Linked DNA regions of Bombyx mori. The protein of the gene in region 1 binds, or shares a complex with, the protein of each later gene. Links are inferred from orthologs where the notes say so. Each region holds a gene or a part of one and is shown on either strand. Other genes may lie near its edges.

Region 1 (5,793 bases):
CTTCCTCTTCAATCACTATCTATTAAAAAAAACGCATCAAAATTCGTTGCGTAGTTTTAAAGATTAAAGCATACATAGGGACAAAGAAAGCGACTTTGTTTTATACTATGTAGTGATGAATTGCTGTTCATTAGTTTCGCTAAAACTCGAGAACAGCTGGACCGATTTGGCTAATTTTGGTCTTGAATTATTTGTGGAAGTCCAGAGAGAAGGTTTAAAAGGTGGATAAATATGAAAATGCTCGGAATGAAATAAAAATAACAAATTTGTCTTTCCTTTGATGTGTCCCCCGTCGGACGGATTCCTTTTGTTTGTTTTAAGTTTATTTTATACAAAAGATTAGGTCAGCTAGTTATTGATGTATATTTTCTTAAATTATTTTAAACTGACATATTTTTTAATATTTCTAATTCTCTCGTGTGGGGCTTACTACTTGTCACTACATACTTGTCACTGTCCATATGGCTAATGGCAACGTCAAGTACATATGAATATAATTTACAGATTCATGTTAGTCTCGAGTTCAGTGTGCGAAGATGGACTGCAACTAATGATTACGTTACTCAAAAGATCGAAAAACGTATCTTTGAGAACCAATTTGACAATTGCCTTCGCCGACCTCACTTTGAGATTCCCGAATCTTACGCAGCCGTGGACGCATCACATTTATCACATGTAAGTAAGAAACGATTTTATGACTGTGGCGGGTAGCCATCATACAACGCAAGATAATTGACAGATGCCTGAAAGTCGCTCGGTGGAAGATCTTCCCTTTGTCGTTAAGCCTCCCCACATGACGATCACATTTCGATAATAATTTATGTTTTTAAATATTACGTATGAAACTTTCTGACTCGAGGGCGCAATAGTTAAGGGCTCTAACTATTGCGCCTTTGAGTCAGAAAGTTGTTGCTTGGCCGAAGATTCGCCCGCCACGTCGGGCAAATATTCGTGTGACGAACAGATTTGTTTGCTCGTAGTCTGAATTTTTTATATATATCTATACATGTATATATTTAAACACACAACAACATGGGAAACCTATGTGTGATTGTAATGACTGTTTTTTTTTATCGCTTAGATGGGTTGACGAGCTCTCAGTCCACCTGGTGTTAGGTGGTTACTGGAGCCCATAGACATATACGACGCAAATGCGCCACCCACCTTGAGATATAAGTTCTAAGGTCTCAAGTATAGTTACAACAGCTGCCCCACCCTTCAAACCGAAACATTACAGCTTCACGGCAGGAATAAGCAGGGCGGTGGTACCTACCCGTGCGGACTCACAAGAGGTCCTCCCACCAGTTAAAACCAGCTTATATTTACGACACACGAAAACCGAAGAAAATACGAGTGTAAATGAGGCCATCAGCGTAAAAGTGGCCTAGTTACCATAGTTAGTATGGAGGCATTTAGGTTTGAATTTTCATGAATTTTAATTTCAGTAGGCAAAAAACAATACGCGCAAAAATAATGTTTACATAGCTATGTTATCTTTGGTACCACCAGTTTTCTCGCTGATTGCTTATTTATTATGTTCAGTCTAAGCGACGAGGAGCTAGAAGTCCGTCAGTGTGCAGTGAAGATGCTGTCGTTTCTGGTCCTGCACGAGATGGTCCGCGTGAAGGGACAGATAGCAGACATGGCGCTGTGCTGCGCGGACGCGGACGCTAAAGTGGCGAGTATGACGCGCCTCTTCTTCAAACAGCTTTCACAAAAGGGAAACGCCCTATACAACGTCATGCCCGATATTATATCAAGACTGAGCGATCCGGATTTGAATGTACCTGAAGAGCAATACAGAATTATTATGAAGTTAGTATTTTAGCTTTTCGAAAATAATTAATACGGTTTTTTTTTAGAATAATGTGAAAAAATGCCGAAAAAACAATAAAATGTGTTTTTTGTTTGTTTATAATATGAAAATGCAAAACATAGCCCTATAAACGGATAAAGGGAATTAAAAACCAAAAGAAGAACAGAAAATTCCCTCCTTGTGACATATTGTAATGGAAATTTAACTCTAAGAAGGGTAGGCGTCAAATAAGTGGCCAGTCGTAAAACTAATGCTAAACCCCTATTCACAATATAATTATAAGCGACTAGGCGTACTCGCCCGCTTCGCTGTGCATTTAAAATTAACATTATTATTTATTGTCATTATTATTAGGTAGTCCAACACTCATATAAATATTAGCCTATCCACTAAGTACATCTATTTTTTACATGGATACCAAGTTTCAAGTCAATCGGATGCACAGTTCAGTAGTTATAACGGAACATCCGTAAAAACCACTATAGATTTATATATTAGTATAGATAAGGGCAAGATGAAGAAGAATAATTAACACGCTTTTATTACCTTGACGGAGCGCATAGACATCATAACAGGAATGCCCTGACGCACCTTGAGACATGAGGTCTAAGTCCCAATTGAATATTATAACGGCGAGTTAACTGTCTGGGTTTGCGGATACTATGTAATTAATTAACCAAATTAATCGAGAAGCACATATTGTGTTGCCATTGTTGTTGTCATCGTGAGTTTGGTCTTTATAACGTGGTGCGTACACATTACGAAAAATTCCATTTCGTCTAGGCTGTGTTCTCATTACATTTATGTTTGCAGATATATAACTTCACTAATCCAAAAAGACAGACAAATGGAGGCACTAGTAGAGAAATTATGCCAAAGATTCAAATTATCAACAGAAGAAAGACAGTGGCGAGACTTAGCTTATTGTCTCTCTCTGTTTACATACAACGAAAGGTCACTAAGGAAACTCATTGAAAATCTCGACTGTTACAAAGATAAATTATATTGTCAAGGAGTGATGGAGTCTTTCAACACAATTATGAATAACGCTTCCAAAATGGCCAAGAACGACATTAAGGTGATTAATGAAAAACAACCGATACTTCCTATATTTCGAATCTATACTTAATATTATAAAGAGGAAAGATTTGTTTGTTTGTTTGTATTGAATAGGTTCCGAAACTACTGAACCGATTTGAAAAATTCTTTCACTACTTTTAAGCTACACTATTCCCGAGTGCCATAGGCTATAATAATCTTTTTTGAAAAAAATTAGGGATCCTTACTAAAACTTCAATAATGTAACCCAAGGTGTAAAAAAATTACCTAAAATTTTCTTTACATCGCGTGCCCTGCGAAAACCATTGATGATAGAATAAAATAATGTACTACGACTTTGTAGAATACATGATTACTTACAAAAAGTGTCGCGACAGCATATGTCTAACTATTATAGTTATGCCGCAATAAGTGTTCTTTTATTTAAAAAAATAAAACAACGTCAAATATCATTTAAATTTTTGTTAAAGATCCGAGTGGAGCCGGAGCGGGCCGCTAGTAGTAAATAAATAAATAAATAATTTTGTTTCAATATACCGCTTAGGCTTTGGTAACCGAACTGGGAGATAAAATAGAAGAAGGCTTTGCGGTTCGCGCTGAGGAAGGTAATTGTGAAGGAACCACTGAAGGCAGTGGCGACACTGACAAGAAGGCGACGGGTCCGCGCGCCACTCCCAGACGGCGGGCTGCGCCCCGAAGGAACCGCAGGAGATCTTCATCCAGTGCAGATGAGGTACTTTTATATTCATTGTTTTTTTTTCTTCCTACCTGTGCTGATAGCCTTGAGAGGCTATTTCAGCTTCGCCTTGACGTGTAAGTAAGCTCACGGGGCTCAAACCGGGAGTGTTGCTAACACTGGCCCTAGCAAGAGCAGTGCTTCGCAGAATCTACCACCGAGAAGATCCGGCGAGAAACTCAGTGGGCTGTGTCTATGGATTTATTTACTCGTCGAGCCCTTCGTCGCAAGTGATGGGTTCGGCGAAGACGGTGACTGTTGCTTGAGGTACCTAAAAGCAACATTAATGGATCGGGAAGATCCGTAATGTCGTGTTTAGGGCGACGTCGACTGTTTACCATTCGGTCCACAGGATCGGGTATTTATTCATTGTGTTATTGCAATATCTGACCATTTCTTTCGAAATTTTGATATAACCAAAAATTGTTGCCTCATTGTTTGAATCATAGCGCCCTTGGGAAATTCATTAAATTCTCATGTACGTTTTCTGTTTTCGTATTATCAGAACTAATTTAACGCTATGAATCACTTAATTTTAAAGAAATAATTAAATTTCAATGGCACTTCTTAACGCAATTTCACATTGCAGTACTGATTCAGGCTTCCTTATAAAAAAAATTACAATTATTGCCGCGTCATTATTAAACTATTTCATTAGGTATCATTTATTGAATTAGGTTGTAATCGGGACTACATAATTTTTTTTACGTGATTTGTTGAAAACATTCAAAGGCTCGTGTTTTTATTTTGTAGAATGAACCTCCCAGCAACGTCGAAACCCCAGTGTCGACTAGAAAATCTAATCGGAAAGCAGCAAATAAACAAAAGATTGTAAATGATTCAGAAGATTCAGGTTAGTCATTAATTATTTATGCTTATTTACTATCGTTCTAATTTTTTATGAACAATAAAACAAACAATAACTAGAAAACTAAGGCTCGTAATATCAATAGTATTTTAAACTAAAATCGAAGGCTTAAACAGTTACTGAAGATCAACTCGTAATTTCAATCATAGTTAAACTCTCACCTTAGGAGTTTAAATAATCTCAAAGTTTACACGGTAATTTTTTTCCTACCTGAGCTGATAGCCTTAGAAGGCTATGCCAGCGTCGCCGAATGAGTAGCTGAGCTCACAGGGCTCTAACCTAACACTAGCCCTAGCAAGAGCAGTGTTTCGTAGAATTTACCACCGGATCGGAAACGCGACCCACTGAGAAGACCCGGCGAGAAACTCAGTGGGCTGTGTCTGTGGGTTAATTTACTCGTCGAAGGGTTCAAAGGGAACGATTACCGGTGCTTGAGGTACCTACCTAAAAGCTCCGATACTAGATCGCGAAGATCCGCAATGACGTGCTTAGTGCGACGTCGACTGCTTAATATTCGGTCCGCAGGATCGGGTATGTAGTTACCGGCGGCCACGACCAGAAGGATTGCGTGTCGTGCCGCTTTCTCGAAATGGCGCACTGATGCCGACTAAAGATGAAGTCCAGCTACATATCATCATGGAGATCCACGTTTCTCACGAACCACGGTGCTCCGACAGCTATCCTGCAAAAACGGGATTGAACGATTTGAAGGGGTGTTAAGTTAGAAACGGTCATAAGAGAGCGATTAAACCATGAGATAGGGCTTAAAGTGTTCTTTTCAAAATGGCCGATCGAAATCAACAGCTGTTATATTGTGTCCAAATCAGTAAATAGAGAGATTATTAAACTTATGTCCATAATTACATTTTGCAAGACTGAGTAAATAAAACAAACAAAAACTGTTGAATTCTTTCACTAGTTTGGACTAAGTTTGCTCATCTGATCAAGTTTTTTTGTATTTCCCAATATATTGCCATATTGCCTCACTAAAATTACTAACACTTCGGTTTCTGATTTAGAAAAAATTAGAGCGAGAAGTTTCCCTTCAACATGCAATGATCTTTTTTCTTTCAAAAAACAATTCTGGCAAATACAGTAAAGTACTTTCAGTGTGCGACTTAATAAAACGTTAAAGAAAAGGAAAAAAGGCTTAATGTTGCCACACGTCAAAACATCGTCACAGTTTTTGACTGTGTTTATTTTCTTGAAAATCAATGTTATGAAAGGAGTTTAATCTGAATTTGTACTAAATTTAGATAAATCTTTGGTTTAAACCATGATTGGGACTATTAAACCATGATGAACCATCACGGG
Region 2 (6,275 bases), on another chromosome or scaffold:
AGTTGATAAGATGGCGGCTATGATGAAAGAAGTTGGTTCGGACGAAGAAGAAGAGGAAGAAGAGGAGGAAGAATCCGAAGAAGAAAAGAAGACAGAGTCAGAGGAAGAAGAATCAGAGACTGAAACAGAACAAGACACTGAAAGCGAGACTGAGAGCGAAAGTGAACCAGAAGTAAGATTTTGGTTTTATTATAAACGTAACGAAAGGTTTTGTAATTATGTTTGACTACTTGGATATTAATATTTTACTATGTATTCGTATTATTTTCAGGATGCTCCACTCCCGAACAAAAAAGATAATCTGACAAAGCGAATGAAACGACACGAGACAAGAGTACACGCTTTGAAAAAAGGAAATGCTTTGCTCATGGCCAATGTAGATCGGCTCAAAGACGATGTTTTAAAGCAAAGAGAAGAATCTGTGTCGTTACAAAAGGAGCTTGACTCTCTAATTGATGATCTTGAGTAATAACATTAGTGAAATAACGTAATACCTAAAATAATACTAGCTTACTACTTATTAAGTATTAATAATTACAGATGTTATAATAATACCGATAATGCCTAGCTTTCTAATAACGTTATTGCAAAGTTATTATTTGTTTTGAGCCACCGTTGCAATAATGTTTTCATGTGTGAATTACTCTTTAAGCATTATGACTTTAAATTTTAATAATATAGTAATTATAAGATGTTGATCGAATATGAACTATTTAAAACTTCTTTTTCTGAAACGTTATATGATTTCAAATTATAATAATCAACTCAGTTGTACTTACTGAAAATTTAACATATCAGAATGAGATTTAAATATTTTTATACAATTTATTTTGTGATATGTTTTCATAAAAAAAAGTTACTTCAAAGGATGTGCATTATTACTTTCTAGCAGTTAGAATAGAAACAAACGAATTGCCTTTAATTTAGAAATGCAAATGCATAACAGAAAATTAAGACATTGTAAGTAAGAGCTTATTTCAATATTTTTTTAAACGGGCTCTAAGTACAACCTAGAAGCAGCTGTGCAAAAAGTTCGTTTTTCGTCGCAAGGAGTATTTCGTCGCTATACGCTAACGTGACAATTTGTATATTTCAACTCCTATTAAAAATCATGATATGGAACTTTTTCCAAAAAGTTTCGAGTTATTTATTACAAAGTCGAATTTCATTTTCTCTACTAGTGTTATTAATAGTTTATAATAAATATTAATTAAAAGAAATTTACAAAATCATTCGATAACCTAACTGCTTTTTTTGTATGCCACTAAATTTAAATATTTGCATCATTCATTTTATAGGATTTGTAAATATTAATTTAATATTAATACAGACTTCCTAAACTTATGTATACAAAAAAAATCAATAAATTCTTAAATTGCATACTGTGAGACCGTTTTCTTTATCATTTGACTTTTTACTAATGTAGATATTAAGTAAGGTTTTGTACTATATAATTACTGAAACCCGTAGACACGTGAATCTTGAAATTTAAAAGAATAAGTATTTTCACTATATTATAATATTGGTTGTACTGTTTTTCAAAACCAGAGCATGACTTTTTTTATTTATTACTTAGATGAGTGGACGAGTTCACAGTCCACCTGTTGTTAAGTCGTTACTGGAGTTCATAGATCTACAACGTAAAGGCCGCCACCCCACCTTGAGATATGAATTCTAAGGTATCAGTATATTTACAACGGCTGCCTCACCCTTCAAACCGAAACGCATTACTGCTTTACGGCAGAAATAGGCGGGGTAGTGATACCTACAAGTGCGGACTCGCAAGAGGTCCTACTACCAGTAATTACGCAAATTATAATTTTGCTGGTTTGATTTTTATTACATGATGTTATTCCTTAATCGTGGAAGTCAATCGTGAACATTAATGTATTAATACGTATTTCATTAGAAAAATTGGTACCCGCCTGTGGTATTCGAACACCGTTGCATCACTAGATACGAATGCACCGAACGTCTTATCCTTTAGGCAGCGACGTCTTCAAAAGTTACATGTTAAATGGCAAAGTAAACAAGCTGCGGATTTTTCGCACACCTTACTACCAATTCTTGTTATATAATTTTTATTGAGGTCCATGTAAACATTGAAAATATTTCAGGATTTTACCAAGGCATATTTATTTCATTTCTCCTCATTTCGCCATGCCTTTTTTTTAAATTGCTTAGCTGAGTAGACGATCTCCTGGCCCACCTGGTGTTAAGTGATTACCGAAGCCCATAGACAACAACACCGTCAATGCCGCTGCCCATCTTGAGACAAATTCTAATTCTCACGTTTTTATAGTCCAACGGCTGCCCCACACTTCAAACCGAAAGGCGTTATTGCTCGCTTGATACGACTATACTGGACCTTTAGACCACGACGACGTCAATTTCATTTCATGTAATCCCATAATAAATTTCAGATAAAATAACTTAATTGCACTCGCTCCGTTTTACTTGAAACGGTGTTATCACAGATTAAAATATATTGTTGCAAAACCCGAGTCGCGCTAATTACAATTTGAAGATAGTCTTATGCAAACACCGAAAAACATCTTTCAGATCGTCAGTGTACCGAGCAATGACGCCCCTATGTGGAGGTATTTTCCATTCGGTGTTTTATTTCCTAAATACTTTTCAAAAACCGATATGGATTTGATTTCTGAAACCAACAAAGATGCGGCTGTATGATAAAATCCTTTCGCCTCTTCTAACAAAAAGCTGCTCCTTTGACTTTGACACTCAAATTTGATTACTCAAATTTAAATCACAAAACAACAACGGTCGCCTATAAGCCTGGCAAAATATCAAATATTTTGTCGTTGGTATCTAGTTTTTTTGATAAGTACGTCATTTTATAATAAAATATAAATGCAGTGCTAGGATTTCGTGTATTGAGTATCATAAATAAAAATGGCTCCGACGGATGCTGAGATACCGACCACTGTACTGTCTTCTAGACCAAACCCGCGAAACAATCCGATAATGTTCAAAATATTTCAAAACGTCCAATTTAATGTTGTACAACACAAGAAATATGTTAAAGAAATGAGTAAACTATATAGAAAGGTAAACTGGCTGCTAGTCTTTAATTAGTGAATAATGTTTTTGTTTTATTCGTCTTCTGTTCTCACTGTTCATAAACACCGGCACAAAATATTTATTTTGTCATTTTCAACTATAACCGTATTAATTACTATTATTATTATTATTAATACAAGGTATTTAAGCATTTGTTCAGTTGTTATAATTTTTCTGTATGCACCTGTTTTGAATTGCAATCCAAATTGCTATATTAAATATTTAAACTTATAATTTATATGGTTGTTATTTGTTTTGTGCATCAATAAAGGAAATTATAAAATTTATAAAATAAAAGTGGTCATATGAGTGGAGTGGAATTTGTGAAAGTATCAACTGGGATCAATATTGCTCTCAAAATTCTTTTTGACTAATCCATCAAGATCAGGTGTCAATGTAATTGCGGCCTGCTAATGGATGAAATATATAAATTCTAGCAAAGGCTAAGTTTTTAAAGTATCACAGTATTATGAAGCAAATATTTTATTGGGTGGAGAATTTTGAATGAAAAAACAACATAAAAGAATAGACATTTAATTTTACTGGTGAGATGAAAATTGTATGCCTGCAACATTCAGATTCTGATGTCTATCAGCTCTGAAAACTATTTGACACAAAGTGGCTGGTCAGCTCGTTCAAATTAAGTACTATGATGTTCTCGATTTATTTCATTGCAATCTATTCATACTGATTATTTCTAACTTTCTTAAAATAAACATTAGAAGTTGTAACTTTATTAAAACGTTTACAGTTAGATGAAGAATCATTCCGTGAAAGTTTCAAAAATGCCCTTATGTATCTGTTTACTTTTGGGGATACAAGTGCTAATGTTGATCGTGTAATACAGTTTGTGGCTACATTTTGTACTTCTCTAAATGATGAAGAGGAATTCTTGCTGTTTATCTTTGAAGTAATATTTGATGTAAGTATTGATATTTACTTAAGTAATTTGCCCAATTTAAAGATAGAGTCTAGAACTTTTTTCTGGTACTTTTTTAAATGTTTTAATCACATCATGATAGAGTGAAATAGTGTGTATCAATCAGCTGTTGTTTTTAAAAATAGTTCAAGAAGTATCTATTGATGTGCCTCTGGAAAACATACAGCATTGTATTATGAAGAAGCCGTGTGTACTTAGCTTAAGTTCCTTGTCTATACCGTTCCTTGTCTATACTCAACCATAGACTGTCAATGTAGTTCCATCTTTAGCCGCCAGGCGTGGCCAGCAAGTATAAGAGAGCGCAGCCGTCTTTCGTCCTCATAGCGTTGTATACTTTCGTAGCGTGAGGTCGAAAAATCTTAAAATATTTATTCGATCTGTTACTGATTGTAAAAAATATTCCTTTTGAGCTTCAAAGAGTGTTACTTTGCAATCACTACAAGTGTTAGGTACCAGTCCTATCGTCAGGCACCATGAATCACGCATCATCTGTTGGGGGTGATGTCGTTTCAAATTTAACAACGTCCGAGAGGGAAGGTATACAGGAGGAACGCGATGGGGACACCTCGCGGTCGAGCTGTTCGACGTCAAGCGAAGAAGAACATGAGGAGCCTCTCCGTAAGAAACATCGGGATTCAAAGGTAACGGTCGATCTCCGAATCGACGCGTTATCCCACCAGGTCAGTGCCCTTACAAATTTAATAATGCATCAACAGTGTGCAACAAGTGATAGCAACGAAAATTGTTGCGAACCTATTGTTGAACACGTTAATCACGTTGATACGGAATACTTGACAAATCCTTCAACAACAGAGCCAAAATCACTGGCGCTAGGTATTTGTAAGACAGACTTCGATGACAAAAAATTCATCAAACCTGCTGACGACAACAGATTGAAACAACTAATTGATCTCCAACATTTTAACTCGCCTAATTGGCAACATGTTCATTATAATAAAGTGCTAAAGGAGATGATCGCGCAACCGGGCTTTTGCAATCTAAAGATCAACGACGAATTGTGTTGTCTTAATAAAGAAAAAGATTACCTAGCACCCACAGAGCAATTCATAGCTGCACTGACTAATGCTTTGTTGTACCAAAGGGAAATATTACAATCGGGGTTACAAGGGATCGTTGACTGGGCCCATAAAAATCCAACAGAATTAAATTCCGATCATCTTTTTAATAAAATTACTGAAAACTTTGGTATATCATCGCCATTGTACAAATTATCCAAACAAACGCTGCAGATTGTATGCGGAAAAAGGGCCGAATGCATAGGAATAAGACGTCAGAGGTTAATTTCTGGCATTTCTGATAAAAACATTCAAACTGCTGTTTCCAACGTACCACCCAGCGAAGAATTTTTGTTCGATAATAGTAAATTAAAATCACTAATTCAGGCCCTCGGGGGGCCACATTTCTGGTTATCACAACCTCAGGCAAAAGGCAGGCCAAACCTTAAAAGAAAATTTAATGAGCCTACACCGCCTACATCTAGACCAAACACTCGACAAAGAAACAATTATAGTCAAGACAATGACAAGAAACAACATACAAAACAGAATTACATCAAAAACAAAGATAATAACAAGAAACAAAATTCCTTTCGCAACAATACAACTAAGAAAAAATGACTGTCTGACACAATTCAGAGGGGGGCAGTTAAAGAGGTTCAAACACCGATGGCAGACACTGGGCGCCACCAAATTTGTAATGTCAACAATATCTGGTTCCCGAATACCATTATTCAAAAAACCCCCTCTGATCATGCCGCTAAACAAGGCAATCAAACAATATGCCACAAATTCATCACCTGCAATGTCTCAAGTGATTCAGGACCTTGTAAATCAACATGTACTGCAACCTGTTCTCAAAAAAACACCCAGTTTTATGTCCAAGCTGTTTCTGCGAAAGAAAAGCGACGGATCGATGCGTCCGATTCTCGATCTTCGAGAGTTGAACAAGTTTGTAAAGACAAAACGCTTTCAACTGATCTCTCACACTGTAGTACCAGATTTTCTCCAACCAGAGGACTGGATGATAAAACTGGACATTTCTCAGGCATACTTTCACGTACCGATCAAAAAATCTCATCAAATCTTCCTAAGAATCAGTTACCAAGGTCAATTATACGAAATGACTTGCCTACCCTTCGGTCTGGCTTCAGCGCCACACCTTTTTGCTTCCATAACATGCTGGGTCGCAGAGACCCTGCGTGCAAAGGGAACTCGAGTGCTAGTCTACCTAGACG

Evidence for each region.
Region 2: condensin complex subunit 1 (region 1) and condensin complex subunit 3 share a complex: the UniProt entries of both Homo sapiens proteins name them as parts of the condensin complex. The link is inferred for Bombyx mori from reciprocal best matches to the Homo sapiens genes NCAPD2 and NCAPG.

The regions. Positions count from the first base shown.
Region 1 is NC_085114.1:10,431,900-10,437,692, forward strand, and holds part of condensin complex subunit 1, read left to right. Parts: intron 1-504; coding exon 505-675; intron 676-1,542; coding exon 1,543-1,815; intron 1,816-2,629; coding exon 2,630-2,894; intron 2,895-3,419; coding exon 3,420-3,608; intron 3,609-4,263; exon of another isoform or gene 4,264-4,364; coding exon 4,365-4,464; exon of another isoform or gene 4,465-5,161; intron 5,162-5,793. UniProt on the Homo sapiens protein: Regulatory subunit of the condensin complex, a complex required for conversion of interphase chromatin into mitotic-like condense chromosomes.
Region 2 is NC_085122.1:6,234,715-6,240,989, reverse strand, and holds the start of condensin complex subunit 3, read left to right. Parts: upstream 1-2,726; 5' UTR 2,727-2,913; coding exon 2,914-3,069; intron 3,070-3,832; coding exon 3,833-4,003; intron 4,004-6,275. Other genes in the region: centromere-associated protein E, read left to right, coding at 1-172, 272-469. UniProt on the Homo sapiens protein: Regulatory subunit of the condensin complex, a complex required for conversion of interphase chromatin into mitotic-like condense chromosomes.